Linked DNA regions of Tamandua tetradactyla. The protein of the gene in region 1 interacts with the protein of each later gene in a pairwise test. Links are inferred from orthologs where the notes say so. Each region holds a gene or a part of one and is shown on either strand. Other genes may lie near its edges. The genes, in order: MKRN3, TCHP and FAM110A.

Region 1 (10,857 bases):
TTGGTGTTTTAACTTTTATAAGATAAAGAGGGGTTCCCCTTTCCTTTAGCAAATATGTAGCATAATTAGACTCCTCTTTGGAGAAGGGCTTCTTTTCATTAACTTAAAGCACAAGGTCAGCACAAAGTCAATTCTTGTTTTTTTTTTTTTTTACATGGGCAGGCACCAGGAATTGAACCCGGGTCCTCTGGCATGGCAGGCAAGCATTCTTGCCTGCTGAGCTACCGTGGCCCACCCACAAAATCAATTCTTATCTGCCCTGTATTTTGGCCAGAATAGATCAGGCAGCAAAATGTTTTCTTTCATCCAAGTGTGACAATATTTAATCTTTTTTGTTGTTGTTGTTTTTTCCCTTGGTTTAATCACTATCAGTCAAAAGTTTTAACATTCTCTCCAATGGACTATCCAGGGGAATATTCCCTAGGGATTCTATAGGTACCCCTTCCCTTTTTCCCTGACCAGCCAACTGCCTTTATTATCCATTTTCAGTCTTGTCTGCATTCTTTTTCTTAGTACCAGTTCTCTTCATCTGTCTCCAGCCTTTTCCCTTGTGGGAAAAGGCAATACTTAATAGTCCTTTTCTTACTTTGTCTCTGCACAGAGTGGCCTGGCCACTGTGAGGCATATTTTTCCTTCCCCTTTTCTTGTTCACCATCAGTGGATCTAAGCATCCAGTTTTGGGTCCTCCTGGCTATCAGAAGTGAACCCCCAATGGCAAAGTCTGACACTGCTCAATCAGCAGGGCAAGCTTTCTGTTTATCCTCCCTAGGGGTCCTCCTCTGAAGCCTTGGATCCTGGATTAGCCCCCAAAGTTGTTAGAAAGAAAGTCATACCTGAAAGAGAATAAAGGCTTACAATTATGGAGAAGAAAAGAATTTATTAATGACCCTGCAAGAATGGGTACACAACCAAAATGTGGTGGCTGCCATGCCAAGTGACAGAAAACATTAGCATTTATCCCCTAAGCCTAACAAGCAGTTCTGTCCCCTGTATCTCCACTGATTGGATGCTCCAGAGGTTATAGCTTATCTGAGTAGTCTAACATTTAAATTTTCCATCAACAGATACCGCTTTTGATTATGTTTTACATCCCAGTGACCTTGGTTGTTATTTGTTTAGACTTGTTTTTATCTAATAAGGATTTGATGCCAATTTTAAGGCTTGTTAGTGGCTCTTTCCTTTCCCTGTCAGTGAAACAGACTTGAGTTGGTTTTCCTGCCTTTTGTTTAGTTAGTTTCCTTTTATCCACTCTGCATTATTTTGTGTGAAAGCTAAACCTAACTCTATTCTTACACTCTGACAACTATAAATTTGTAACTAAATAAATCTCCTTATTAAAAGCTGATCCATCTCTGGTGTGTTGCATTCTGGCAGCTTTAGCAAAATAAAGCACACACCTATTCATGCTGTCTATTAATACCAAGGCAGGGACTACCAGCCATTTCTTTGGCATTCAGACAAAAGGAACTGGGATTGTCTCTGGCCCTGTGGAGGACCCCTTTGACATCCAGTCATAGGAAATTTTCTTACAAGAAACCACCTCTGCCAGTGTACCTGGGAGGCCTTGCTCAACCTTCTAGGCAGGGCTCCTATTTGTTGCACGGGTGTATGCAGTGTGGAATTTTTAGCAGGACATGAGAGGGCTCACATCAGAGTCACAGAGCCTGGCTTATCAGGCCCCAGTGGTCACCCAGAAAATGTCCACATGGCCTCTACCCTGGACTTGTGACTTTTGAAACAATTCTTATTAAACCTCTGCCTCCAGTGGCGGCATCTTTTGCTCACACTTTCCCCATTACAGGCATTTATGCTTTAACACATCTAGAATAAGATCAAATCCTTGGCTCCCATGATGGGTCAGGTCAAATGGGGCTGCTGTGGAACAGACCATGCCAATCAAAGTGATACATATGGCAATATCTCCTGAAACAAGGTATTCTGGGCCTATAATCCAATATCTCCTCAAAGAGTGAGTCATTCGTGATGTCTACCATCTCCCCTCTAACTGCTCTACTCAGCCAGTTTTCTTCAAGCTTTCACCAACGAAGAGTGATTAATCCTCAGTTATAACAACCTTCATGTACAAGTCCTGCCCATCAGAGCCCCAATTCCTAACTTCATCTAATTAATAAAAGATATGCACAGGAGATGGGCAATTGACCTGCCAAGAATGACTTGCCCAATAGGATTTACTCAGTGTCAATATGTAAAAAAAAATTACTAACCACTGCTGCCAAAACCTTAACAAATTGTCTTTAAAAAATGGTCTAATACTGGCACTATATAACATACCTCTGATTAAGGGGTGACTCTAAAGCAACAATCCAAGAGGAGCTACTCACTCTCAACCATCATTTACAGAAACAAGACTGGGCAATAGCACCTTATTAAATACAAGAGCCATGAAATCTCTGTCAAAGCCCTAAACATAATCTGGTCCTCTAAGGGCAGACAGAGTCCCACCACAATGAAGCAGAGCCTACTTCAGATACTAAGACATGCACAACACCTCTTTGTGTTCTAGAGGTAACACATACTACATCTCCCACTCTCATTAAAGCCCATATATAAATCACACATACATCTGCTGGCTTCCTAGGGAAAGCCCCAAAAATGCATCATAGAATTTGCATAAGTCATTCCCAAACCCTTGTCCCATCAGGAACAGATTACAAATTAGAGGCCTTGGATACCTGTGAATATGCTCTTAGAGTCCCTAAACTGAGCATGGCAAGTCCTGGATGCTTATCGGGCTCTTTTTAAATGAAGGTGCTTCCAGGGCCCCAACTAGTCATCCTGTACATGCAGATTCACATAATGCTGAGTGAGAGAGAATCCCCAACAGGAGCTCAGCATGACCACTGAAGCCTCACTGGTAAGATGGAAATAGTACCTACAGGAGAGGGCTAAACCTGACAAACAGTGACTTTCCAAATTGCAGAAAATTGTTGCTTCCCCTATGTTCAGCCTGTTGCCTACAGACCTTAAGTTGCTGGCAGTAATACCCTCATTGCCCGCCCCATCCCCACCCCCAGTATGTTGAGAGACCCTGGGGACCAACTGTCTGACATGGAAAGACAGTAGGTATGTCTCACCAATGGCAATGCTATCATTGTACATAACACAGGTCACTGGCGTACCATGGCATGTCACCTGGCTTCAAACACCTACTTAACCAAGATGGCTGTTTAGTGCCTGCACAGTTGGCAGAGTTGGAAATGGCTCAGTAGTCCTCCAGGATCCTCTGAGCAGCCATTTGCCCAATCTCCAAATCTCCACTGATTCTTTGGAGGTGGCCAAAGGGCTGAAGGTGGGGTGAGTTAGGTCAATGGAAGCAAAATATTTTTTTTCTACAAGAAAAGCCCTTGTGGAGAGCTCCGTATTTGGAAACAGCTCATAGTCTCATTCATTTACAAACACAGTTGATTCACCACACCTGAGTACATTGCTAACAAATTACTTCAAAATAATTTCTATACAGCATATCTAGTGGGTCCCTTAGAGATTGCCCACTCAGGTTCCTCAAGCCTCAAGTCCTCAAGACTTCAGGACCTTCAAGTTCCTTCCTATCCATCCCTCCAGTCCACTTCTGAACCAGTGACCCATCTCTAGGGTTACTTGTTACTGCCTCAACTGTGTAAACCACCTCTCCCCTTCTCATGATGCTCTCTGGTGACCTGGGTGCTGAGCCCAGTCTGCTCAGGTGCAGCTTTGCTGTCTTTCATTCCATTTCATAACCCAGCTGTTGACCAGCCAGAAGATGCTGGTGCTGCTGTGCAGGGTATTAGGTATACAAGAAAGTTTCAGTTAAATCCTAGCTCATGAAGTTCTAAGGCATCTTATTGGGAAAGGAGGTCTCAGCTGAGCCAAAAAACTAGTGCAAATATCAGATATGTATTCTTAGAGACGGTGTGAAAACAAATCACATGCATAAAAAAATTTAGGACAGGGATCTGGACTAAGGCAATAAGAGAAGATCCTCTGAGGAGTGAGGTTTGGCCAGGCTAGGAAATATTTGCTTATTTCTCCCAAGATGAACTATCCAATATTTCATATTTGATCTCATGTGGTATTTAAAACATAGGAATTAATTTTAATTTCTAATTTTATGAGATATTATCACTATAAAACTACAGGATACAGTCCACTGTGAGATAAAAGGACATGAATACAATTAGGAGCTATATGGGAGGGATTTGAAAGCAAATGCTGCCTCTCCCCAGCTGCAGAGCATTAGGCAGATTAGGTAAATATTCTACTTTTCAGTTTCTTTGTCCTTGAAACTACATGGTCAAATAATTTCTAGAACCACATTAAAAATAAAGTGAAAATTAATTTCCTCTATCATCCTAGCATTATTTCAATTAAGTGCTCAGTGGCTTCCTGAAACAAGTGACTACATAATTGGCAGCATGTATATCAAGCGTTTTCATCACCACAGAGCATTCTACTTGAGAGTGCTGGTCTGTAAAAAGAGGATAACAAAATCTGGACACAATGCTGGAACAAAATACTATGAAACAAGTTGTAGTTCCAAGTTCAGGATTCTTGCTTTTGTGAAACTGAGCTTGCTATATATATCAGTGCTCTGAGTCTTTTTCATGTGAAAATAATTGAAGCTGTCGAAGGAATATTCACTAACCGTGAAAGACAAAGTCTACCGCAGAGAGTGCGAGTAAGACAGACTTCAGAAGAGATGCATATGAAATACAAAACTCAGTAACATGAAAAGGAAAACAAAATACAAAATCACCAGGAGTACAAAGGTTCTCGGTGGGATAAAAAGCAGCAGTATTCTCATAAGATTATCAAATTAAGATTAATTTATCTTTTTAAAATATTGTGGTTATGTAGTATTCTTCAATATATTTATGTCTTCCTAAATAAAAACATTTTAATTATATTATATAAATTTAAAACCCAGGATATTTATCTTTTTATGTTATATAGGCTCATGAAATTGTTAATATTTTGATGATATATAAATACAACTGATTTTCGCATACTGTGCGTCTATCCAGGGCCTTGCTAAATGTACTTTTTAGTTTTAATAGTTTATCTGCAAATTATCCTCAAGTTTCTACTGTCTTTCATCAATAATTCCTTTACAATTTTAACAAACTTTATTCATTTTTTTACTTGCCTTATTTCAGTGGCTAGGATTTGCAATAGCAAAAATGAGCCTTTATGCTTTTTAAATTTCTGAGGTTACGCTTTAAAAAATTTCCTTAAGGGAATGATTTTAAATTACGGATTAAATTCACTTAATTGAACAATATTCATATTTCTTATTTCTGCTCATGCTACTTTTATTAATAGATGTTTTCTAGGCTATGATGACTTCACAAGCATTTTCCAGTCTAATGGCCTAATCTTTTTCCTGATATCACCTTATGATTTTAAATGTATGCCCACCATGTAGTGATACCACGTTTTAAATTTCTTGCTTTGGTTATTTAAACCTTCTTAATTTTTTCTTGCTATGATTCACCAGAAATCTATCAGTTTTATTAATCCTTTCAAAAATTTTTGCTTGATTCATTTTCCTTATTTCAATTTTTCCTTTTATTAATTTATTTTTCTTATTATTTATTTCAATGTTTTCTTTGCTTCCTTTTATTTAATCAGGATTTAATTTGTTGTACTGAATGTTTATATCAGAAATACTCACACTCTCTTCCAACTTACAATACAAATTCAGGTTAAAATTTCCCTCTAAGAAATATGTTTTACAAACAAAATCCAATAATACATAAAAGCATGATACATCATAACACATAACGGTTTCATTGGAAAAACAGTAAGTGAAATTTTTGAAAATCTATCATTTTAAATAATCACATTAACAGAGTAAAAGCAAAAAAAAATATGATCATCTCTCAGTAAACATAAAAATTATTTGACAAAATTCAGCATACATTCACGGTAAATACCTTTAGCAAACTAAGAACATAAAAGAATTTAATTAAGCTACTAAAATGCATCTGCAATACAACAAAGAGCTCACACATGAGGAAACTCAAAAGCACCACTTGTGGGTTGTGTGATAAAGAATATGCTCTGAAAGGCTGAGCTGCCACAATACAGCCCAAACTCCCTGAATCAGATGATTGGGAAGAAAGAAGGAAGGAGACAAAGGCTCTCCATGAGTTAAACCAGCAAAAGAAAGTAAAAGCAAGGGTCAGTCATGGCACTGTGCCTTACTAAATCAGCGTCTGGAATGGAAAGTCTGGGGCTTCTGCACAGCCGGGAAATGAAAATTTGAAACCACAATAAATTAAGACATCTGAACGGTGCTAAAGTTGCCTCAGATCACAAATGTTCCCTGATACCAACTCACTGATGAAAAATGTCTCTAACTTTAATCCATTTGAGCCTGCAAACAATAAGAGCCAAATGAAAAAACGTTTTCAGTACAACACAGAAAACAATAGCTTAGAAGACTAGAAATCCACAGACCTGAAGGAAACATATGCAGATCCCACAGACATATGATAAAGCAGTGAACAGAAACAGAATTTTCAAAAATCACTTATGAATTTTTACACGTAAGGAGATAAGGGCTTATGGTTAAAAAGACAGACTGGTATGAAGAAACAGAAGCTAATATAACTTGAATGGATGAATGAGATGAGATTTAATAAAACCCCAAAAGGTTTTGATTATAAATTCCAGATCAGACCCTGTGAGAAGGGAATTGGAATTGCAGGAGCGCCGCAGAGACAAAGAAATGGTGAGCGGAGCAGAAGCAGCAGCCGTGAGAACGGGCAAAAGGGTCGCATGACGTGAACAAAGGAAAAGTCCAGTCAGAGTGCTTGTGGGTGGACACGAGGTAGAGGACGAACACTGCCCCCACAGGAAGTGGCCGACAGGCTTGCCAGGAAGGAACGCACAGCCACAGGGACCAGGAAAAGGGCGGACGGAAGTGAGAAGTGCACTTCCGGAAAAGAATCCCGCCCCCAGCTCTCCCGGGCCTCAAGCCCGAATGGAAGACATGCTGGAGGATACGCAGGGCAGTTCCGGCACCATTTCGGGTAGAAGAAGCTGCCATGGAAGAGCCTGCAGCTCCCTCTGAAGCCTCCGAGGCAGCAGGGGCCCCTACGGGTGCCGAGGGAGCAGAGGGGGGTGCCCCCGGGCCCGGCCTCCCGGTCCCCGAGGCCCGCCGGCAGCCGGCAGGTTCAGGCCCAGCCCCCTTCCGTGCGTCAGTGCGGGGGCCTGCTCGGGCTTCAGGGGGAGGGGCCAGGCCCCGCTGCCTGCAGGGACGAAGCCCCGGCAGCTGGACGAGGCAAGTCGTGTGCAGGTATTATCTGCATGGGCTGTGCAAGGAGGGGGAGAACTGTCGTTACTCTCATGACCTTTCAGGCAGGCAGCCAGCCAGTGAAAGCCGTAGTTCGCAGCCCCAGGCCTCTGCAGACGAAGGCCCCAGTACGGCTGCGCACATTAAGCCCCTGACTCAGGAAGTGGCGAAAGCCCCCCTTGCTGCGTCTTCACGCTCCTCGCCTCCGATTGGCTCGGCTGCTGAAAGGGGTTTCTTTGAAGCTGAGACTGACAATGCAGGCTCTGAAGCTGCCGGAGCAGGTGCAGAATCCTGGGGAGATGCTATTGAGTTCATTCCCGGGCAGCCCTACAGGGGCCGTAGGGCTCTTTCTGCTCCTCAGCATCCTGTTCGGAGCTCGGTGACTAGGAAGGAGCATATGGCAGTCAGCATGAGGGAGCAGCTTTGTCCCTATGCTGCCGCAGGACGATGCTTTCGTGGGGAGAATTGTGCTTACCTCCATGGAGAGGCATGCGATATGTGTGGGCTGCACATCCTGCACCCTTTGGATGCTGACCAGAGAGCCGAGCACATAAAAGCCTGCATTGAAGCTCATGAGAAGGACATGGAACTCTCGTTTGCTGTGCAACGCAGTATGGACAAGGTGTGTGGAATCTGCATGGAGGTTGTCTATGAGAAAGCCAACCCAAGCGATTGCCGCTTTGGCATCCTCTCTAATTGCAACCATACCTACTGTCTTAAGTGTATCCGCGTGTGGAGGAGGGCCAAACACTTTGAGTACAGGATTATCAAGTCATGCCCACAATGCAGGGTCACCTCCAACTTTGTCATTCCCAGTGAGTTCTGGGTGGAGGAGGAAGAAGAGAAGCAGAAATTAATTCAGCAGTACAAGGAAGCAATGAGCAACAAAGCCTGCAGGTATTTTGATGAAGGCAGGGGTTGCTGCCCCTTTGGAGAAAATTGTTTTTACAAGCATGCATACCCCGAGGGTGCGGGTGTGGAGCCTCAGAGGCAGGGTGCAGAAGAACCACAGGGGCAGGCTGCAGAGGAGCCCCAGGGGCAGGCTGCAGAGGAGCCCCAGGGGCAGGCTGCAGAGGAGGCCCAGGGGCAGGCTGCAGAGGAGGCCCAGGGGCAGGCTGCAGAGGAGCCCCAGGGCCAGGCTCCAGAGGAGCCTGCAGGGCAGGGTGGTGGGGCATATAGTACTTACTGGAATCAACTTGTGGAGCCTGTGAGAGAGGGCAGCATATGCTTTAGGAAGATTAGAAAGGAGCTTATCACACTTAAGCTGGCCAATTTGCTGTTTAAGCATTTTCTTTCACTGGGGGGTGACACATGCTTCTTCTCCATGGAACTGTGGGACTTACTTCAGTATGAGTTGGAAGAATATTTTAATTTGAATCTGTAGCATTGTGTTGTGGCTTGTGGTCTTAGCTGCTGAGGCTTTGCCATCTGATATTGCCTGTGTTCCTTTATAGACATGTGTAACACTTGCAGTGGCTGTGGAAGCAATTTTTGTAGTGTCACTGTTTTCTTGCACAATTCCAATTCATTTTCTGTCAGGATTATGGTGTTTTTCTGTGTTAAAAAGTAGCAGAAAAATCATTGAATTTATTGTTTGGTGAAATGAATGTCACCCTTAGCTTATGGTTATTTTATCACCTTTGGTTTCAACATGGCTCACTCAGTTCCAGATTAATGTATAGAAAATTTCCACACTCCAAAAATTTTGAAGTCCCTCAAAGAAGAAATGTGACAGTGTGAAGGGAGCAATCTTAACTGACCAAGGAGCTTTTTTGCTACTACAGCCTTAAGAATGGACCCTTATGGGTCTTGTGGTGCAGCTGCACGTCTTTCTTTGTTTACATGCAAATCCCTTCCCTCATCCTTTGTGAATTGAACTTGTTATCTTGTGGATCTCGTGGTTATTTACGATTTAGTGTTTTACTTGATGAGAACCAGGTGCATATGTTTACATGTTTTTATCCTGTTTGGCTTGACATAAAAATTATTTATATTTGGAAGTATATATTTAAGAATTTATATGTATGCATATATGTGCATATAAGTGAATGTACGTGAGAAATATATATTTAAAGAATATGTATATGAACATATATATGTTTATGTAATAAAATAAATGCAGTTCTGGAAGCCAAAAGTCAAAGGCTGACAGTATTGGCTGGTGTGTGTGTGTGTGTGTAAGATGCGTAAATAATCTTTCTGTCCTTGCACAGCCTTCAGTGATTAGAATTTAATTAAAACAACTGTTCAAATGGTTTTGACCAAGTGTGGCAGACACAGACCCTAATGAACATAAAATATGCGGGTCATTCATTTGATTTCACTAATAGCTCACTTTGCTATCCTAAATGCAAAAATTCATGTTCCTATGTGGTTTAGCACTGTCTCATTATCTTTTTAATAGCACAACTCTATGCTCAGATACACTGTTTTTTGTTTTGTAATCAATATTTTGTTATCTCTAGCCTTTCAAGACTAGGGGCTTTTGGAAAAGTTTTCAGCATAAAAGTAACAGAATTATAAAAATAAAAGAATAATAAAAATACTGAAATCACTCAGAATAAAAGATTGGAAAGACAAAAAATAAAGTATAGATAGGACCAAAAACTAAATACTATAGTACTATGGCAAATTTATGACACAAATACACTATAATTATATGCAGTGAAGACAGATAATTAGATTTTATGGAAATTGAAATTTTAATTTCAGGGTGGGCCACAATGGCTCAGCAGGCAGTGTTCTCACCTACCATGTCCAGAGACCCGGGTTCGTTTCCCGGTGCCATGCAATAAAAGAATAAATTTAAATGTGCTTTTGAAAATAAACACCTAAAACATCAGACTGCAGAAACCCTGAAAGTGATAGGAAATACATGGCCAGAAATGGAGAGAAATATTATATAAATATTTAATTTACAATTTACCAGGAAGATTTAAGTATGTTTGTTTCATATACATTTTATGACATAGCCTAAGATCTGCAAATAATTAATAAAAATAGAAACATCCAAAATCTTAGTGGACAATTTTCATAAATCTTTTTTTCAGTATTTTTTGAACAAGCAAAGTAAGAAGGTAAGTAAGTAAGCATTTAAAAGATTTGAACAACCCAATTTTAGCAGTTTACTTAATTGACCTGTATAGAATGCTGTATGTTGTCTGTACAGGTAACAGAGGTAACTAAAAATAATCTTGGGAGATTCAAGCTGGAATGACTATCCAACAAAGGCAGGGCTCATTTAAAGTTTACACCATGTGTTAGGCATTCTTTAATGCACTAAATTCTCAAACAACTTTAAATATTACCTACTATAATTTTTCATATTATCCTGAAAAGGTAAATGAGGTAGTTAAAGTACTTGCCCAAGAATTGACCCAGGGTGTAAATTAGTGGAACAAAGAACGGAGCTCAGGTTAGTCTGACTACAGAACACTTTCATGTACCATGCTGCCTCTATATGACTGGGCAAGTGGACCTGCTGAAGAGGGCTGCTAAAAACTAGGGGTATAGACTTTAAATGAAGGTAGATCAGCCAGCTAGGTTGGAACTTGGCATAA
Region 2 (10,763 bases), on another chromosome or scaffold:
TCTGAGAGACAGGACTGAACGGTGAGGCTGTTCTCAGGGATGAAAGGCTCCTGGGATGCAGCATAGAAGTCTGGGAACACCGCAGGCACTTGCTCAAGAGGGATTGCCCCTAATTATAAGGAACCAGCTCCGGTACATTGCCAGGTTCTCTGCAGACCTTTGGCAGGGGTGTGGCCCTCGGAAAGGATGGGCGGACTTTAACCTCTAGCTCATTCCCTCATTCCTCCAGCTGCTGCACGTGACAACTGTTAGAGTAGTGCCCATTGGTCATAGTTTCATTCATTCATTCACTAAATATTTATTAAGCACCTACTGTAGGCCATTTACACAGTGGAAGAGACAGAAAGGTCCCTGCTCTAATGGGATTTCCAGTAGAGTATGTGTATGTGTGGCATTAATATTTAAAAATATATATTTAAGGCTGCTATGAATGCTCTGGGGGGGAAATACATGTGTGTCTTGAGGCTGCATGATCCGACCTAGTTGAAGGGATCAGAGAGGGGTTCCTAGAGGAAGGGGCATTTAACCTGAGACCTAGAGGTTGAGTAGGAGTTCGCAGAGGGGAATAACCTTCCAAGAAGAGGGAACAGTATAGTGGAAACTTTGGAGGTCGGGGTTAAAAAGAAGGCCAGCGGGGCTGGTTAGACCATGCAGGGGCCTATGAGCTTGCTCACAGCGTGGTTTTTTGTGCTTGGGGAAATGGGAGCCATAGAAGGGTGCTGAGCAGAGTGACAGGAGCTGCTGCAGCATTGCCCATCAGTAGTCTGAGACTTAGTATCTTAGGAAGCGAAGGCTCCCTGCTCATCAGGAATGGACCAGGGGGTGCCATGTCCATTGAAGCCATAGAAAAATAGGGTTGGCTTGCTGCCCTGTCTTGGTGGCATGTACCCATATCTGACAGCCCAACGGAATGGAGCTGCTTGGACTTTGGGATCCTGACTCACTAAACAGGCCATGGAGAGTCCTCTGTCCCCAAACCTCAATCCCATTTGCAAAGTGGGATTACGATAACCCATACCTCCTAGAGAAGCTGGAGGCCAAAGGGAGGTCTCACAGGCACAGATCAATACATGCTAAGCAATTACTGGCCGACTCTCTTCTTTGCAGCTTTGGTAAGTGGTTCAAGAATTACACTCTGAACACATGGTGCTTGGGGAAAGTCTATTCATGGGGAGGCTTGCTGGTGACTGAAAAACCTTCAGCAATAAGATCCTTTAGTTTGTCTCCTAAAAAGAGACCCCAAGCCAGGGGGGAATGGAGGTGTCCATCACCACCAGGGACCAGATTCTTCCCCCTTCCTGATCTGCTAAGGCCACGCAGCTCCTCCCAGTGTGGCTGCAGAGGTGCCGCGGGCTCCTGCAGATGCGACAACGCCCGGCAACTCCCTGCCCCTAGAAGTCATCTTCTTAGGGGAAAATGAGGCAGAAGTCCACCGTCTGCCCAGTCACCAACAAGGAGCGTGGGTCCAACCACAATTGGCTTAGACTAATCCGGATTCACCCCCAAACCATGTAGAGAGGGGTAGATACCCCATCCCAATGGTTGTTCAGCTTGAGCAAGGACATTGGGGGAACAGCTATTTGGTCACTGATGAGGGATGAGTGAATAAGTTAACATTTCCCAGCTCTTTCCTCTAGCACAGAAGGAAATAAACCCAGCCCTACTGAAGCAGGTGCCTACGTAGGAAATGATCAGTATGAAGGCAATTATAATACCAGTGAGTGTCATCCCTCAAGTTCTAATAAGGGGCCGAGCACTGCGTTAAGGCAGCTGTTAATAATAGTCACAAACCAGTACGAGTATCCCCATTTTTAACAGTTGAGAAAACTGAAGCTCAGAGATACGAAATAATTGTAGCTGGTCAGAGGCTTCATCCTTCACACCATGCTCTCCTTGAAAGATAATATAAATAGTGCTTTAGTTTGCTTTGGCTGCTCCAGCAAATACCATGCAATGGGGCGGCTTCAACAAAGGGGATTGAACGGCTCATGGTTTTGAGGTTAAGAGAAAGTCCAAACCAAGACATCATCAAGGCGATGCTTTCCTCCTGAAGACGGTGGCAACCTGGGTCTGGCTGCTGGTGATCCTTGGACCTGGGCTTCTCTGTCACTTGGCACATGGCGGCCTCTCCTGACCACTCCCTCCTCTTCTGGGTTCTGTGGACCTTCGGCTTCTTGCTTCCCACAGCTCTCTGTCTTTCTGAGTTTCGTTCTGCTCATACAGGATCCTGGTAATAGCACTCTCCTGGTGCGCGCCTTCCATGCGGGAACCCGAGTTCGATTCCCAGATCATGAACCCACCCCCTCCCACCAAAAACAGAAGACCCAGCCTGACTGAGTGGGGCCACACCCGAACTGAAGTAACCTCATCCAAAGGTCCTACTGACAATGGACTCACACCCACAGCGATGGATTAAACTTAAGAACATGCTTTTCTGGGGTCTATGGATACAAACCACCACAAATACCAAAAAGAAAAAGAAAAAGAAAGGTCAGTGCTGTTCCATCAGAGAAATATATTCCACCAGATGGAAGCAGACTGAGCTACTTGAGGGTTCTGAATAGAAGGTTCTGGAGCAGAAATCCATTTTCCAGCCTCCTCTGCACACAGGAGAAAAAGGCCTGTTAGAACAAGCTCTGATGAGCTCTCCCGATTTACAGAATGGAATCTGATGGGAGGTTGCATACCTGCAGGGCACCAGGGGCAGGCAAATTTCCTCAGGGGGACGCCCTCCACTGTGCTGCTTCTTATTAAAACACCAATACGGGCTGGTGTGATGGAGGCTCAGTGGCAGAGCTCTCGCCTGCCATGCTGGAGACCCGGGTGCCTGCCCATACAAAAAAACCAACCAAACAAACAAACAAAACTAATATGTGCTCATTTCAGAAAACACGTAAGTCAAAAGAAGAATCACAAATTAACCCGTAATTCAATACCTGCCAATGTAATAAGGCAAGAAAAATAAGTAAAAGCCATCCTCATTGGAAAGGAAGAAATAAAAGTGCCTCTTTTTCAGGCCACATAATTATTTATATGGAAAATACCAACGAATTGGAAGCAAAACTTCTAGAACTAATGAGTGTGTTTAGCAAGGTCTCAGAATAGAAGCTCTCTATAAAAAAATCAATTGTCTTTCTATATAATTGCAATGAACACTTGGAGTTTCTCCCTAAGCACTGGAAGTATTAGGCTGGGGAGGGGGTTGAGGTTTTGTTTTTTTTGGGGGGGGTAGTGCATGGTTCAGAATCAAACCTGGGTCTCCTGCATGGTAGGTTAGCATTCTACCACTGAGGGGGTGAGTTTTTTTTTTCTTTAGGTGACATAATCCTTTCTTACCACTTCCTTTATTGTCATGAAAATTTTGAAAAAAACCTTTCAATTAAAAAAATCAGCATCGTCCCATATTCAGAGATTTCTACCTAAGACACCCCTAAAACATGTCCTTGAAATCATCAAGATTTCTTTTGTAAATATTTTAATAACATCTCACAATTTCATGTATGACATATTATCATATCTTTACAACAGAATGAGGCAGATTACTAGGGCATTTTACAGGAGAAAAAAAAAACAGTAATTTTTACTTTATTTTAGAAGCTATTACTTCCTTCAATGTGAATCTGTCCTGGCACATAGTGGGTGATCAGTAAATATTTGTTGGATGAATGCCATTTAAGATATGATTGGATTTATGAGTTTGCAATTTTGCGCAGTTTTTCAAAATATTTGATTCTCTTTTGGCTCCCTCCAGTGCAGTCTTTTTGAGTAAAAGGATGGAAATCTATTTGCAGTGATTTATACAAGTAGATGTTTATTTGGAAAAAGTGAGTTAGAATTGGCCCCTTGAGCTGTTATCCACCCCTAAAATTATATAAATTATATATGTGATATATAAAATTATGTGATATCTTAACAAATTAATTGACTACATATTTCACTTTAAGCATAAAAAAATAATATTACAATGAAAAACTTATTTTAGGAGTTTTTTTTGGGAAAAAAGCCTTTAAGTCATTAAATTAAAACTTTAAACCAGGACAATAATAACATCATGGCTTTAGAATAAAATCTGGCATGTGAAATCTCTGTAGCAGGATCAGCCACACTCTTTAGTATTTGCTGAATGATACAAGCAATTATGAAAGGGAAAATAAAGCCATTAGTAATTGTATTGCTGCTGAGATTAATAATACTACCTTTTACAATAGCTAAAATATTACAACAAAAATACACATGAGAGCGCTCTAATCAGTCAAACGGAGAGGCATAAACATTTCTTACTAGGAATCAGACTTTCAAAATTTAAGTAAAAAACAGTACTATGGTTTTATAGATAGAAAAATTAAGGCCCAAAGAAACTGTGATTTATATGCTCCATTTGTAGATTAAGTAAATTGGGTATCAACATTTTTAAAAAGTTTGTACAGCAGTGAGGGGGGTGAGTTTTGACAGAGGCATGAGACCAGACCCTGGAATCAGACTGACCTGGGTTCAAATCCTGACTTAGCAGTCTATACGGCCAAGTGAGAACCCCCACTGGGAACAGAGGCTGAAAGCAATGGAGCCCAGGAGCAGGGACAACAGATGCCAGCCACATGACTTCCCAGCTAACAGAGGGGTTCCGGAAGGTAACACCCTATCTTTAGTGAATGTAACCTCTTATTGGTGGCTTTGTACATTTTCTCAGTCTTAGAACTGTAAACTTGTAACTTATTAAATTCCCTTTTTCTTTTTTCTTTTTGCATGGGCACGCACCAGAAATTGAACCTGGGTCTCTGGCATAGCAAGCGAGAATTCTGCCACTGAGCCACCATCGCACCACCCTAAATTCCCTTTTTAAAAGCCATTCAGGGCAGGCCATGGTGGCTCAGTGGCAGAGTTCTCACCTGCCATGCTGGAGACCCAGGTTTGATTCCTGGTGCCTGCCCATGCAGAAGGGAAAGAAAAAGAAAAAGCTGTTCAATTTCTGGTATGTTGCATTCAGGCAGTTTAACAAACTAATACAGGCCCCACTGTGTTGTGACTGAGCTGATCACAGCAGGTGGTTGCCTCTGTCCACTGGTGACATAATATGGTAGAGTGATCCTGAACTTGGCCAAGTGGGTACAGACCAATGCAGAGGCCAACCTTGGGGGAATCTTGTGCATGGGGCAGGGTACACAGCAAGTAAATGTCTGTGGGGTAGAGGAAATGTGAAAGAAATCCCCCCCAAGCCCCCCTGCCATGCCCCAAGCACTCTGTTCTGTTCATACCTTTACTGACTCCCCCAAGGACAACGCTAGAAGGTAGAACTCTCAACGATGAGGAAGATGAGGCACAGAGAGAGGAAGCAACCTGCCTGGACCCCCCAGCCAGCATGGTGTGCGTTGGCATTCTGACTGCAGAGACCATGCTCTTAAAACAGCGTCCAGGAAAGACAGAAATGAATAGAGGAATGGAAGAATGAAAGAAGGAAGTGAGGAAAAGAATGGAAAAATGAAAGAAAAGATGGAACAAATGCAAGAGTGGATATTTACTTTATTATCTTTTTAATGGAATGTTCGATGCATAAAAACTTGTAACTCATGTAATGAATGAACACTGAGAACCAACCACCAGTCTAAGACTACAATAGAAAATTATCAATAATTTGCATCTACTTAACGTTAGTGGTTCTCACCTTGGATGCATATTGAAGGCAACTGGGGAGCTTTGAAAAACAGGCTATCCAGGCCCCACCCTCAGAGAGTCAGATGTAATTTGTCTGGGGACTGGGATTTGAAGCGCTGCACAGCTGATTCTCATGTACTGCCCGGTTGGAGGAGCACTGGCTTATATTATCCTCCCCTATCCTAGCCCCCTGATTTCCTGCCACCCCAGGTAACCACTATCCTGAATTTTGTATGCTGAGTGGATTATTTTCCTCGCCCTTCCCTACTTCAAGAACCGACGAAGTTTGCTATTGATCTCCCTCCTACCACGAGGGGGCGCTAGAAAAAAGTACAGTCTCCTTTTTCTCCTTAGAGCGTTCAGTATTGCGCTGGAGGAAACTTGGTCCTCGCGGCGCGCCGTCTCCCGGCCCGTTGCCGGGACAACCAGCGGGGAAACGGTCGGCTTCAGTGCTAAGAGTTTCCGCCCGGCCTCTGGCATCTGCTCAGCCTGATCTGGCCTTGCGGGATCTAGCGGGCCTGGGGCTCCTCGGAAACTCCCAGGCGCGGAGAAACGTGAGTCTGGAGGCTGAGTTCTTTCGGGAGCCGGCGTTGGGGCTGGTACTCAGAGGCTCTGGCCGCGGTCGGCCGGGCGCTGGCGGAAAAGGGAGCGAGGACCCAGGGATACCGCCGCAGGGAGCCTGGAAACCTGGGCTCCGGTCCTCACTGTGGTACTAACGAGACATGGGGTCGAGGCCTCCCGGCCGTTTGCTCGATGTGGATGTTGAGGCTCAGAGAGGGAAACGGCTTTCTCGGGGAGCTGGATCTTAAATTTAGTGCAAAGATTTATCCACTGGCTTTTTTAAAAGGCAAGGGGAAAAAAGCATGTCAGGCCAGCCAAAGTCTCAAAACAGAGGTCGCAGGCCTGTAGGCCGAATTGGACGCATAGATGTAGATTATTTGTCTGCAGCTTCTGAAGGACTTTGAGTTTGAGACTCTTGGCGCGGTGCCAGACCCATGTGCTTATTCAAGAGACCTTCCTCAAGCACTACCATAGCCAGGGACTGTGTAGATTTTGTACCTGAGGACAGCTGTGGGCTGGGGGAAGGTTGTCCTGGCTACAGTGAGACTGCTTGCTTTTTTAGTCTAGCTGTGTCCCCAGATTGCCCCGCAACCCCTGACAAGTCACTTCCTCTCTCTCAGAGGAAGTTTCTTCAACTGTAAGATAAGGGATCTGCCCTCCGTGGGGGCCCAGAAGACTTCTAGGTGTGACTCCTTGCCTGGCCTCTCGCCTGCGGCTGCTAGAACCAGGGCATATTTGTCCCAACAGGGAGCCTTTTGCAGTAGACAGACCCGGGGCTCTGGACTCAGACCTATCTGAATTAGAATCCCAGGTCTTTTATTTCCTCTCCTTTCTGGCTGTGTGAGCCTTGGCAAGGTGCTTCACCTCTTTGAACTTGTTTCCTCATCTGCCAAATAATGGGGTGGTGGTAAGAATGAGAAGGGTTATACATGTGACAGATGCTGGGTACATACAAATGTTCCTTAAATTACTGTCCCTGTTAGTTTATGAAGAGTACAGAAGTCCCCAATATGCCAAATCTAGCATTGCTGGGACTGGTCCCCTGTCTCTGTCCTCAGTGCCTCTGATAACACCTGGCCCACATCTGGGTACATCCTGGTTTTATTAAATCAGTGATTTGCAGCCCGGGTGGCAGATCATTTTTAAAATGCCAATGCCTAGGCCCCATTCTAAGATTTTCTGAGAAGGTGAGGCCTAGGTATGGGTATTTTTAAAGACTCCACGGAGTAATTCCAATATACAGACAGGGGTGAAGACCACTGAGTAAAAGGATGCCAGCCTTGTACAGGTTCCTGGGGTTTGCAGTTGGAGCATATTCTTACCGTTGCTGTTCTCAGATGGCACTGCCCACGCTGCCCTCCTACTGGTGCAGCCGGAGGCTTCTGGATCAGCAGTTAGCACGCCAGCGAGAGCAGGAGGCCCGGCTTCGGCAGCAGTGGGATCAGAATAGTCGCTACTTCAGGATGTCTGACATCTGCAGCTCTAAACAGGCAGAATGGAGCTCTAAGTCCTCTTACCAGCGGAGGTAATTGCGCGGTGACTGCCAGCTGGGTGGAAGTGGGGGGCCACTCTGGCTGGTCATAGGACGTGGTGGAAGGACATGTGGCTTGACTACATATTTTCTTGAGGGGTTTGCTGAACAGCATAGATTACCTGCATAGTGGTGATTTTTTTTTTCCAACTGGAAATTAAAGAAAAAATCATATGTAAAGTTACACATTAAAAAAAAGATAAAACAATATAGAAGTATATGAAGTGGCGCCTAGAAGTCTCTTTGTAATACCGCCTCCCCAGAGAGAACAGTTGGGTACATATCCTCCCATACTTTTTCCCATTTGTGTTTGTGTATAAATAGACCCCCCACACACACACATCCATCCATTGTTATAGAAATACATGTTAGTCCAAAGCATAGGCTTTGGATTCAGACAGATCTGTATAGAAATCCTGACTGTGTCACTTACTATATGAATAAGGCTCAGTTTCCCAAGCAGTAAAGTAGGCTAAAATGGAACCTTCTTTAGGATTTATGCTATGATTAATATAAAACTATCCATATAAAGATACATGTATAGCTTAGTCCTTGGCTTGTGGTAATTGCTCAAAAAATATTACCTATACGTTATCACATGCATAACAGTATTTGTTTATGGATACAAAATTCTGTTTTGCATCCTGTCCTATAATCTGCTCTCTCCACTTTGGTTGGGTGGCACCTATCTGTGTCACCACGGTATGTCCACCTTTGGTCTTTCGCAGAGCCTCTGCTGTAGTCTGAGTGGTTTATTGTGGGATCCTTCTCACCCAGCATGCATGCTTATCAGCGGGAGAAGTTGAAGGAGGAGAAAAGGAGGAGTCTGGAGGCCAGACGTGAGAGGCTCAGGCAGCTTCTGCTTGAGGAGCAGAACCTGCTGGCCAAAGAACTGGAGGACCTGAGCACAGACCTACGGGAAAGAAGAATCCGGGAGCGGCATGGGAATCTGAAATCAGCCCGAGAAGAGCAAAGGAAACTGGTAACGTCCCATAGACCTTCAGAAGGTTCAAGAGCAGGAGCATCCCCGGCCTGTCAGTGTTGTATACGTGGGATCACCCCTGGGCACTCTGATCTGATGGTGGTCGATGCCAGAGACAGCTGGGAAAAGTGCTAACTCTAAGTCTTTGTTCAGGTAGTGTGTTTTGCACACACAAGTCATTACATCCGAGTCCTTTTACTTTATTCCAGTTCTGTGGTTCCACAAAGGTCTGAGCATGGTATATTTTATCTTCCAAAGTAGTCGTTTGGAACAGTGAGCTCCAACGTGTGTTTTTAAGCCTGCTATACCTTTTGAAATCTCCTAGATACAACCTGTGTGTGGCATCAGATTTTTGCCCCCTCCGTTGCCATCATGAGAGTCGTTTCTTCTTTCGGTGCTCTTGTTTCTGCTCTGGCAGTCTAGATCCCATAGCTGGGGCTGCAAGGCAGGCAGCAAGTGAAGGTTGGGTACAATGAGGTTGTAGTGTGGAGGCGCCGTTAGCCTGGCTGTCTGAGCTGACTCCCATTGCGGGTTGTCTGAAGAGTGAGTAGATTTGGAAAATGACATCAGGCCTCCTTTGTATTTTCTTGACAGATTGCTGAGCAGCTTCTGTATGACCACTGGAAAAAGAACAACCCCAAACTTCGAGAGGTAAAAACTAAGGAGATCCTTCACTGATTTGCCTAAGTAGATGAACTCATGTTTGCAGCCTTTTTAAAAACTTGCATCTTTTGCTGGGTTGAGGCAAAGGAGGGAACTGCTTAACTATGAGACGAGCCTGTGCAGAACAGCTGGAGTGGACTGGAGCAACAGTTCATTCACTTGTTTAACAAACATTTACTAAGCATCCACTGCCCGGTCCACCACATGGGACGTGCAGATTAGATGTGGTACCTGTGTTTGCAGTCCTGAAGGGAGACTGTGGGCAGTGGAGAGACAGTGGTCAGATGGTTACAGTGCAGGGTCCTGGCTAAGATGGCATCATTCAGCCAAGAGGGAATATAAGGAAATTGGGCTAGAAGGAAAGAACTCCGTCACTCATAGCATTGATTTATTTCAGTCCACTTTTCAAACTTTATATAGTTTGGTATCATTAATTTATGCACTTGCAGTAACATTTAGAAATTGCCAGTCACTGAATAATAGAATAGCTAGGTGCTTTTGAGTATTATTATTATACAGATGGCTCTAAAATGGGCATTTGTTGACTTAGGTGGCCCTCCAAAACTGTTTACTCACAGACAGGTTTATTCAAAACATTCAAGTTAGAAATTGAGAAAGAAACTTTTAAAACCCATATAAACAATTTCCCCAAAAAAAGCTTTTTGATAGAGTATTTCCATTCTATTTCTGAACCCAAAGATTCTCTGAACTTAAACCTCTTATTATTAACCCTGTAGTGCATTGTTTGATACAGGGAAGCACATGTTTTTACAGCTATTGCTTTGCAAAGGGAATTTTGGGGACTTGGGCAGGGGTTGAGTCTGCTTCTCCCCCAGGTGACTTCAGGTGCCCTGTGGCCCGCATGGTCTTAGACCAACCACAGTGGCCTTCTGAAATTGTATTTCCTTTTCAGTGTCTGCTGACTGTCTCTGTCCAACCCAAAGGGGACTGGGAGGACAGAGTCTGTTACTTTGTTCCAGCTCTGGAGAATGGTTCAGAAGCACCTGATCATTTGGTTTTCCAACTTACTTGCATTCAGACCATGCTGTGCTTTGCTCACTGTTCTGAAGTGGGTACCTGGGCCACTTTGAGTTCTTTCAAAGAAATGTCATAGTCATGTACCAGCTGTGGCCCAGAAGATAGTACATCAGCCCCATGATGAATATCAGATGCACCCGTGAGGAAAATAATATTCTCCCCCTTCTCGTCCTCAGATTGAATTGGACCTTCACAAGAAGCATGTTATAAGCTCTTGGGAAATGCAGAAAGAAGAAAAAAAACAGGTGTGGTATATGGTTCTCAAAATAGTCCTATGTGCTACAATATGAGAGGCTCCATCTCTTTTGTTTCCTGTTTTCAGTATTAATAACTCTACGC
Region 3 (10,780 bases), on another chromosome or scaffold:
CTTGAAAGCTGCTTGGAAGGAGAGGACTGGGGAAGATGAGGGATGTATGGGAGGCAATCAGCAGGCCCTTTCCCAGCCCACTGGGCAAATGTTTATTGAGCACGTGCTGTGTACACTGCTCTGGGTTGGGCGCTGGGGCATAGGAGATGGAGCTGGCCAATTCCTCTTCCTTCAATACGCTCACATCGGGGTGCATGCAACCCAAGCCCCAGAGACTGTGGGAGCAAGGAAAAGGGGCCCCTAACCAAGCCAGGGAGGAGGGCAGGACAGGTTTCCCGGGAAGCTGTGGAGTGAGCCAGGTGAAGACAGCATGGGGACAGCATTCTGGGCTGCAGGCACTGCGGGGAGCACAGGGGTGCAGGCGAGTGGGGCTCCAGGCAGCTGGATGTGGCTGAGGTTGGCTGCTAGGCACAGGGAGTGGGAGAGCAGAGGCCGGGATGGGCCGGGTCCTCCCCAGCCTGCTTCCTCTGAGTTCCCCAGAGATGCCTAGGCTGCTTGCTTCTTCCTAAGATCTCTGGGAGAAGTGGGACCCCTAATCTTGAGTGTTGGGAGCTACACATTTGGCCTTGTAGTTGCTCTGACCCTGCCTGATGTGGAATCAAATCCTTTCTAAGGGCAGAAATCCAGAGCCCTGCTTGGGTTGTGGGTCTGGCGAGTCTCCATTGTTATTACCTCCATTGCACAGCTGGAGAAATTGAGCCTAAGAGGGAGGAGGGTCCTACCTGGTGGCTGAGTGGCCCACAGTTGGCTGGGCCAGCAGGTGTGTCCTGGAGCTGGAATGCTGTGCAGGCCCCGATTCTTTTGCATGTGCCACCTGGTTCTCTGGAGGCATCGCTGGTGGCTGGAGAGGCATGGACTGCAGGGACCTGGAGGCAGAGGATGGTCTCTGTGTCTCACCCAGGGGAAGTATCTGTGCTTTAAAGGGGGTGCTGGTAGGGGTGGTGCACCGGTGGCTCAGTGGCAGAATTTTTGCCTGCTGTGCTGGAGACCCAGGTTCGATTCCTGGAGCCTACCTATGGCAAAAAGTAAAAAGGGAGAGGGGGATGCTGGTAGAGGAGCACGTGTCCCCCGTCACATTCCAGAGACACGCTCTCGAGACAGTGTTTCACTATTTCTGTGGACTGTTTAGGAAGGGATTCAGGGTTAAATATGTTTGGGAAACAGTGGAGTAAGCAAAGAGAAAGAGGCGTTTCTGCTCCAGTGGTCCTCAGAGCCTTTGATATGATGATATGAATTGCAAATCTCTAATTGTGGGACAAGTGGGAAAGAGTGGGGTGGGCTCTGTCCCCGGGGGGGTCACAGTTGGTACAGGAGACGGACAACACACAGCCAGCTGAACACACCAGCTGTCGGCAGGTTGGGGCTCTATGAAAAGACACCATGTGAGCCGTGGGGGAGGCTCCAGGGGGGATGGTGTTTGAGCAAAGACTGGAAGGAGGTGATTCTGGGGTGGGGGTGGGGGGAGCGGGAAGGGAAGCAGCCTAGAAGAGGGAGCAGCAAGTGCAAAGGCCCTGAGGCTGGAGCAAGAGGGGCTAAAGGCGAGGGTAGTAGGAGAAGCAATTGCCAGCGGGCAGCTCTGAGAGCCGGGGCAGTCAGTGCGGGTTGGGGAGGCCTTGGAGAGTTTGGGGCATGGGAGTGACTCCTGGAGACATGTTGCCCCATGAGCTTTAATGATCTGAATCCCTGGGCGTGGGGCTGCGGCATCAGGGCTCCCCTGTGCAGCCCTGGCCAAGGCCCACCCAGAGAGCTCCCCTTGGCTTTCAGCTCCGGCTCGGCAGCTGACCCTGGCCAACCTGAGTTGACTCACTGCACATGTAGCGTCCGTCTCCCCAGGTAGAATGTCAGTTCCCTGGCAGCACTGCTGTACCTCCAGCACCTGAAACCAGGCCGGTCATGTAGCAGGTGCTCAATAAATATATTTGTGGAGAGAATAAATGGAGAGATATGCTATTAAAACCTCTTTCCATATTACTTATATTACTCAGTATTCTTCAAAAACCTTATTTTAATGGCTGTATAATATTCCATCCCAGTTCCATTCACCATGCTCATTGCCCTGTTGCCAGGAAATTAGGTTGTTCCCCCCTTTTTAATTTTATATACTTTTAATTAATAACAATGTTGTGGTGAACACTCTTGTTTTAAATCTTTCTGCATCTCCATCATTTACTTGGGGTCAGTTTGTACAAGTGATGCAAGTACAGGCCCGTTCGGACGGCATTTAACACTCATCCGAACGGGCATCCCCGTTTGCCTTCTTGCCCATGGTGTTTGGAGGTACTTGGCTGTATTTTCCTTTAGTTCGCTGTGCTCTCTTGTTCACTCATAGACTATCCTTACACATGTTATGTATTAAAAAAAGTCACGGGGGTGAAATTCACAAAACATGGAACCAACCATCTTAAAGTGAACAATTCAGCGGCGTTTAGTACATGCACAATGTTGTACAACCACCACCTCTATCGAGCTCCAAAACATCTTCATCACCCCAAAAGGAAACTCAACCCCATTATGCAGTTACCTCCATTTCCCTCTCTCCCCCAGACCCTGGCAACCGCCAATCTGCTTGAGCTGCTTTCTGTCTCCATGGATTTATCTATTCTGGATATTTCATATAAACAGAACCATACACTATTTGGCCTCTTGTACCTCGCTTCTCTCACTTAACACGTTTTTATGATTCATTCATATTGTAGCAGCTCTCAGAACTTCACTCTTTATATGGCTGGATAATATTCCACCATATAGAGACACACTTCGTTTATCCATTCAATATTCGTATTGTGTCCACCTTGTGGCCACTGTAAATAATGCTGCGGGGAACACTGATATACAAATATTTGTTTGAGTATCTCTTTTTCATGCTTTTGGGTATATATACAAGGAGTGGAATTGCTGGGTAATATGGTGTCTCTATGTTTAACTTTTTGAGGAACCACCAAACTGCTTTCCACACATATGTTTTTTTTTAATAGATAATATATTTACAAGATACAAAATCCAAAGGCATAAACACTATTTTCTAAAAAGCTTTCCTCCCTCCCCTGTGTCCCAGCCACCCCAGTAACCTCCACTTCCAGAGAAGTTAGATGCAAGCAAATTTGTATGGCAATAACACCCTTTAGATTAAAAGAAACAAAATAAAACACAGCCATGGGCACCCAGGAGACACAGAGCTGACATCTGAGGCTAATGGAGACACAGAGCTGACATCTGAGGCTAATGGAGACACAGAGCTGACATCTGAGGCTGATGGAGACACAGAGCTGACATCTGAGGCTGATATCATCTGGATTTTGAGCTGAGTGGAGAAAAATCTACCAAGCTCAGGGCTCTGGAGGAGACGAAGCCCACAGTGAACGAGCCACGGGCCTGTCAACAGGGCAAGAGGTTATTGCTGTTCAATCGTGCTGGGCCAGGGTGAGGCCATCAGGGCTGCCCAGCTCCGGGCGCAGCTCATGACAGCTTGTCCACCTTCTTATTCTTATACCCCCACCTTGGGGGTGGACAAGGCCTGGGACACTGTCAATCGCTCCAAATTGGCACTGGGTGCTTAACAGGTCCTTGATGATCGGGGACATTGCCAATATGCTGCTGGCAGATGCAGATGTCCAAAGTTCTCAAATCTGACTGCACCCATATCATCTCTCTTCAGTGGCATAATCTGGGGTCCCGGGGAAGTTTGTTGTACTCTTGTTTGCCTCACTTCTTCATTTGGGAATGAGCTTTTGAGTTTTTGTTTAGTTTTGTTTATTTTAAGCCCGAGGGTTTGCAGGACAAAGGGAAACATTGAAGATGTCAGCAGGGCCTTTCATCAAGGCATCTCAATGATCTCCCAACCCCTGATTAAAAGTGTACATCTCAGAGAAGAATCTGACCAGGACACCATGGCTGTCATTCCCATTTTAATGATGGGGACGCTGAGCTCTGGGAGGCACCCTAGCAATGTGTTCACAAGGTCATATGCTTTTGCAAAATTTGCCAAGGTAAGATATTTTAGCTGCACTCTGCTCAAACCACCATCTCTTTGTACTCCAACTTCTCTTTGCCGTAGGTAATGTTGGGGGTAGGTTGGATGACATTGGGGATGTGGCTAAGGGGACTTTGAGTTGAGGACACATTTGCTTGGGTTTAGTAGATATATTTATGCTGTTTCCAGTCACTTTTGTGAATAAATTATTACTAACTGACCTGATATAAGAATGGCTTTCAGGAATATCCCTACCCTACCACAGACACTATGCTTGCTCAACTGGTGTTGCGACATGAAGGTACAAAGTCAGAGGTCATATTGACAAGAATGGGCTTACAGTACCCGACATTAGAAGTATATGGGGAATAGAGGAGAGGTTTGAAATGTACACATGGAGCCAGAAGCTAATATGTGGGAAGAATTTTAGAGGTATGTCAAAGAGGTAATTAATTAATAACAATAATGCCATTTTTTTCTGGGTTTTTTTTGTGTGGAATTTGTCAACTTTTAATACTTTGTTATTTGTTGTGTTTTTTATCTTATTCACTTTTGTGCTTAATTTTATATTTGAAGTTGTGTGCTCTTTTTTTTAAAGACGTCCACTTCAAGTGTATAAGCGTATTGGTTTGTTAATGCTGCTGGAAATGCAATATACCAGAAAGGGAACTGCTTTTAAAAAGGGAATTTATTAAGTCACAAGCTTATAGTTCTAAGGCCATAACAAATGTCCAAACTGAAGTAACCAGAGAAAGATACCTTGACTCAACAGAGGATCTATGAGGTTTGGGGTTTTTCTGCCAGCTGGGAAGGCACATGGAGAAGTCTGCTGGCTTTCTCTCCTGGCTTCTCATTTGGAAAGCTTTCCCTGGGGTTATTTTCCTTTTGCATCTCCAAAGGTCCCTCCTCTGTGTCAGTTCTGAAGTTTTTTCCAAAATGGCTCCCTCTTAAAGGACTCCAGTAAGCAATTGAACAGGTGGAGACATAGCTCCATGGAAACCACCCAATCAAACGAGTCCTAGCCACAATTGGATAGGTCACATCTCCATGGAAACAACTTAATCAAAAAGATCTCACCCAGCAATACTGAGTCAGGACTAAAGAACACGGCTTTTCTGGGGTACACAATAGTTTCAAACCGGCACAGTAAGTATAAGCTGTGGAAAGCCCAGATCTGCCCCTGGTCAGATTTCACTTTTGTTTTACAGGATCACAGAACCCTCTTTGCCTTCTCTCAACACTGCTATTGAAGCTAATGCCAAATAGTTATGCACATTTACAGGGGAACAAAAGAATGGTTCAGAGCTCTGGTTCTGGATCAGGCAAGTCTTAGTTTATTCATCAAAAAAAAAAAAAAAAAGGAAATAATAGGATGTTTCTACTCAGATTGTATTGAAGTCAGATGAGATAACCTGTGTAAAGCCTCGAGCATAATCTAGCAAAGAGCATAGTTAGTGCCAGGTTTCATGTTATCTGGTGCTCACAGGTAGAGCCAGACTCCCTGTTTATGATGCTATCTGTGCTGATTTGGTTGGTGCTTGTGCCAGGGTACACAAATCATTTTTAGCTACTGACATATTGTCAAGTGCCCATCCATTCAGTGGCTGCCCAGGTTATGGACACAGTTAAGTGCTGCATCATTGGCTGAGCAATGAATAAATGAAAGATACCAATTAGAACGAAACAGAAGCTGGCTCCAAATTGAGCAAAATCCTATACCCAGTGAATCACTGTTACAAAATTTCCTCATTTTGAAGGGCCCTTGGAATTAATTTATTCTAACCCCTTTAAAATGTCTTTTTTTTTTTTGACAAATTCAATTGTTGGAAATATGGAAGATCCATAAAAGCACAGAGAAAAAATTAATCGCTGTAATTATAAATAATTATACATATGCACCTGGGCTGCTTCGTTATGCATTTACCATATATTTATATGCAGTAAAAGTTGCTTTGAAAACATGCTTTCTCCCCCCATTTAATACACCCTTAGCATCTCCCCCTTATCTTTAAATATCTTTTAACTACATCATTTTTTTTTCCTTGCATGGGCAGGCACCGGAAATCGAACCCGGGTCTCTGGCATGGCAGGCAAGAATTCTGCTACTGAGCCACCGTCACACCGTCCTTAAAGTATTTTGAAATGATTGCATAATATACCTCATCAGAAAATGGGTGTAGTTAAATGCTCACCTATCTTACGTGGATTATAGTGAGCACGGACAGTTATGTCATATAAAGCTGCCTGGCATGTAAAAAGTTCAATAGTTATCTCTTATTGTTATTATTCCATTTGAAGACCTTATATAACAAATCCTCTTTCACTGGGTATTTGTTTCCATTACTTTGCTATGGTGAATAACACGGGGCTGTATCACTCCTTGGTCACGTCTTCGATCATTTCCTTAGGATAAATTTGGGGGCTGCAGGATATACACATTTAAAAAACTAACCCATTCATTGTGTAGTCGGGGCAATAGAGAGGGGAAGGGGCTTGCCCAAGCTATTTAGCTACTTAGCTGCAAAGCTGGCATCAGAAACCAGTCCAGAGCCGCTCACTGGTGCTTCTTCCAGCTGGGGACCCGGAGGAAATCCCCATTTGGGAGAGGCAGAGGGAGAACGAAAGGAAAGAACCAGGCTCCCTGACTAAAGCAGCCACCGGAAAAAACGAGCGGCGGGCGGGGAGAGAAGCGTCAGGCGTGCGGAGCTGCGGGGCGTCAATCTTTAGACCGACGCTAAGCTGTCGCCTGGCAACCTGCGCGGCGCGGCGTTCGAACGGAAGTGAGGAACCAATCAGGATGTCCGGGGCGAACCATTCCGGCGGGTGGGGGAGGGTGGACAGCGGTGCTCTCACTTCCCCTTCCTCCGCGCCCCAGGGAACCTTCGCTTCGGTGGGGGCCTTTGGAAGATCAGAATCCTTCGCCCTTCTCAGGTGCGGAGAGCAGCTCTGTAGAGGCCCCTGCGGGTCCCCACGAGGGGCTGGATCTTCCCGGCCCGCGGTGGGAGCGGCCACTACCAACCCGGGTCCGAGCTGTCAGCCTTCCCAAGACCCGCGCTGGAGGAGCCCGGACTCACCTGACGCGGGTTCCAGGTGAGGGCGCGGGAGGTCCGGGGCGCGAGCGTGGGGCTCGGGTGCGAGGGGGCGACACTGTTCACCGATCGCCTGTTGTGTGCGTCCTCACCGTGTCGTACCTGCGGGGAGGCGTGGTACCGATTTCACAAATAAGGACCCGGCGGCTCAAAGAGGCCAGTGGCCTGGTCGGGCGATGTCTTGCAGTGAATTCAATTCAGGTCTTCCTGCTCCACCTCGCAGCCCCTAATATAGACCCAGGGTTCTAATTCCAGCCGCTGCTCAGGGGTAGGGGAGGGAGGGGGGAGCAAGCGGGACTGGCATTTCCGGGCCATATGTTGGGTGAGCCGCAGATGCTCTGGCCCCCGGAATCGTTACTGGCCTCTTGTGACTCTGTCCCAGGTTGGGGGCAGGGGAAGTCAGTATAGACGGTTAGACCACACCCCCATGTGGAGTTGGGAGCAGGCCCTACTTTCCAGGGACCCCTATATGCCTCAGGTTGCTATCGTTGGTCTCCTTTTGCAGATGGAAAGACGGAGGTTCTGAGAAGTTAAGGGCCTTGCTGCAAAGTCCCACAGTGAGATTTGGCAAATCTGGAGTGGGCTCCCAGTGCATCAGGCTTCAATCTTAGAATACTAGACATTCAGAATCATAGGATCTGACAGTCTTGGATCCCTTCACAGGGGAGGAGCAGGAACAGTGCTATGCCAAGCCACACTGAAGTCCAAAGTAAAAGGAGAAATCAGAAATAGTGATCCTATCCTGTCTTTATGGTCACACACTTACTGCATAAAATCACACATGTAAATGTCAAATTTCAGTGCTGCAGTGGGAAGGGGGTGAGGGCTCTGAGAGTGCTTACAGTGCCCCTGAGCTAATCTGGGGAGGGCTCTGGGAAAGGGCCATTTGGACTCTGAGAGCTGAAGGTTGGGGAAGCTCCAATTGGGTGGGAACATTCCTGGCAGAAGGAGCATCAGGAGTAAAGGTGTGGGGGTGGGTCAAGCCTGGGGTGGGATGGGGCTGTGGCTGGGGAGAAGCAGAGTATGTCACCAGGGCAGGCCAGAGTCTCCATCCCTGGCATTTGGGCCATATGAGGCCAAGGGATTGGAGGAGACACAGACACACCAGGAGGTAGAGATCTGAGTTCCCGTGTGCTTCTGCTGCTGATTTGCTGTGTGACTTCAGGCACATCTGTGGCCCTCTCTGGGTCTCAGTTTCCCCATCTGTACAGTGGGGAGAGTATCAACACCTGAATTCTTCCGGGCTTTAGGGGTGGGCCCTAAAAAAATGTTTCTAGGATGGAGGTGCTGGGCGAGAAAACCCCTGAGCCAGGCTGGGTGCCTCTGGGCTGGACCTCAGTCCTTCATCTGGAAAATGGTATGAAAAGGTGGCAGTGGTTTAATACGAAGGGCAGCTGGCATCTCTGTTGATGACAATGGGTAGCAGCTACTCTGTGCTTGACAACAGGCTGTCCATGTTACTCTCACTGCCTTGTGATACCCCTGCCTCCTCCATTTCATCCCCTCCCATCTGCAGCATCCTTAGAAAGTGAAAAGTCAGCCAGCTGGGACGTTATTCCAGGAGTGTAATGACCTTCACAACAACTGAAGCTAACATTTATTGAAGACTGTCTGTGTGTTATGCTGTTGGGAGGTCAACTCACATGGCCTCCACCAAGCACAGTCCCGCCGTCTCTGACATGGTTACAAGTGCGTGCTCCTCACCCAGCTGTCTCCCCACTAGGCATTTCTTCCAGGCAAAAAATGATGTCGCTGCAGTGATGCTGCGGTGTGGTTTGTAGTGGGCAGAGACTGGACGCTCACTAAGCGCCCATCAGTAGGAGTAGGAAATAATACCGTGCAGCTGTGAACAGGGCCAAGGACGTTCTTTCTGTGCTGTTGTGGCACCCAGAACAATACATATTATTGAGTAAAAAGAGCAAGGGTGGAAACAGCACACACAGCATGTTGCCATTTGTGTAAAAAAAAGAGAAAGAATATGCATCCTGGGAGGACATAGCTATCTGGTCATAGTGTGCCTGTAGGGAGGGGACAGGGAGGGACTTTGGTTACTCATTTAAAATTTTGAGCCATGTGAATCTATTACCCAACACTATGAATTTATATATTTGATCATGAAAACCACTGCCTTACCCATGATCTGTCACTGACTTGCTCCGTGACTGTAGGTCAGAAGTTTCTTCTGACCTCTAGGCTGACGTACAGAGTCATGAAGGTGAGCCCTGAGGCTCAGTCCCCACTGAAAGCCCCTTGTCCCCGTTCTCAGAGGTGCAAACTGAGGCCTAGAGGGGCCATGTGGTACAGGTGGGCAGCAGGTGAGTCAAGCACCTCTCCTATGGCCTGCTCACCTCTCCCTTCCTGAGGAGAAGGGCCGGATCCTGGGCAGGCCCAGGCGTGAGTGTCCGGAGAGACTCCACAAATAGCACAGCACTGGCTTGGCCCTGGAGGGTGCCAGGCTGCATGTCTCTGACCTGAACAGCTGGGCTGAAATGGAGCTGAGGCTGCCCCACCGGCCGGGGCCCCCTCCCTGCTGCCTGGAGCCTTCATGATCCCCTCTGGGGCAGGTGGGGCCTCCCCGACTCCCGTCAAGTCCCAACTGAGCTACCACTGGAGGGAAAGAGAGAAGCAGATGGAAGGAAGAGGGGAGTGTGCGGAATGCCACGGTACTGTAAACATCAGAAAACACAGCTCCCACCCCCTTAACAAGGGATCAAAATCAGTAATTCCTCTTGAGCACTCACGATGTGCTTTACATGTATGAACCCATTTAATTCCCTCAACTCTGTGATGTAAGGGAGTTACTGCACTTCTCACTTCCATTTCATAGAAGGAAACTGAGCCCAGGGGAGCTCAGTAATCTGCCCAAGGTCACACAGAGCTTAGATTTGAATCCAGGCAGCCTGGCAGAGTGCTCTCGACTCTGCACTCTTAACTGTTACTCATGCTACTTTCAGATTTGTCACTCTGATGAAGGCCTCGCCCAGTGTCTGGGCAGTGGAGGATCTGGTTGGTTGAATATTCATCACAGCTCACACTTGATGGCATTTGTCATGCACAGGCCTCACACGGGGAGGGAGGCACTGTTAGGAGTCCTGTTTTATAGTTGGGGAAACTGAGGCAGGCAGAAGTTGAAGATCTTGCCCAATGTCTCATAGCTAATCACTAGTGAAGCCAGGATTTGAACCCAGGCCACCCGGTTCCAGAGTCCAGACTCACATCCCCTATAGAGTTGACCAGAGAGATGGAGTGAAAAAGGCAGGGACCCAGCATGTGCAAAGTTTTGGATGTGGCATATGTGCAGAAAGAACAGGGCTCAGCTGTAGGTGGCCAGAGCCCAGCTTGAAGGAGGGTGACTTGAGACTGGAGGAGGAAAGAGACAGTTGGGGAAGCTTCAGGCAGGGGGCAGACCTTGGCACTGAGGGGCACTGACCTTTGAGGTGGCCTGGGTTCCAGTCCAACCACTTGGTAAATGTTATTTCCTTTTATGCTTGGTCCCTGGAGGAAGAGTACAGTAAGGTTTGGTGGAGCTTCCAGCCCTGTGGAGGTGACAAGAAGCAAATAGATAAATAAGTGAATATCCAAAATGACGGATGTGATGAATGCATAGAAGGGAACAAAAGGGACTGAAAAAGAATTGGTGGGAGCCTCTCAGGATGGTCTGGGAAACCTCTGAGGAGGTGACGTTCAAGGTGAGACTTGAAGAAAGAGGTTTCAGGCAGAG

The links.
Region 2: the proteins of MKRN3 (region 1) and TCHP interact in binary tests that used the Homo sapiens proteins (3 or more experiments, as listed by UniProt). The two-hybrid records come from large-scale screens. The link is inferred for Tamandua tetradactyla from reciprocal best matches to the Homo sapiens genes MKRN3 and TCHP.
Region 3: the proteins of MKRN3 (region 1) and FAM110A interact in binary tests that used the Homo sapiens proteins (3 or more experiments, as listed by UniProt). The two-hybrid records come from large-scale screens. The link is inferred for Tamandua tetradactyla from reciprocal best matches to the Homo sapiens genes MKRN3 and FAM110A.

Annotation. Positions count from the first base shown.
Region 1 is NC_135338.1:79,484,760-79,495,616, reverse strand, and holds MKRN3 (E3 ubiquitin-protein ligase makorin-3), read left to right. Parts: upstream 1-6,861; 5' UTR 6,862-7,049; coding exon 7,050-8,681; 3' UTR 8,682-9,395; downstream 9,396-10,857. UniProt on the Homo sapiens protein: E3 ubiquitin ligase catalyzing the covalent attachment of ubiquitin moieties onto substrate proteins.
Region 2 is NC_135331.1:21,551,835-21,562,597, reverse strand, and holds the start of TCHP (trichoplein keratin filament-binding protein), read left to right. Parts: upstream 1-6,030; 5' UTR 6,031-6,203; intron 6,204-7,547; coding exon 7,548-7,735; intron 7,736-8,469; exon of another isoform or gene 8,470-8,518; coding exon 8,519-8,723; intron 8,724-9,317; coding exon 9,318-9,374; intron 9,375-10,600; coding exon 10,601-10,669; intron 10,670-10,763. UniProt on the Homo sapiens protein: Tumor suppressor which has the ability to inhibit cell growth and be pro-apoptotic during cell stress. Inhibits cell growth in bladder and prostate cancer cells by a down-regulation of HSPB1 by inhibiting its phosphorylation.
Region 3 is NC_135327.1:22,720,273-22,731,052, forward strand, and holds the start of FAM110A (protein FAM110A), read left to right. Parts: upstream 1-6,801; 5' UTR 6,802-7,060; intron 7,061-10,780.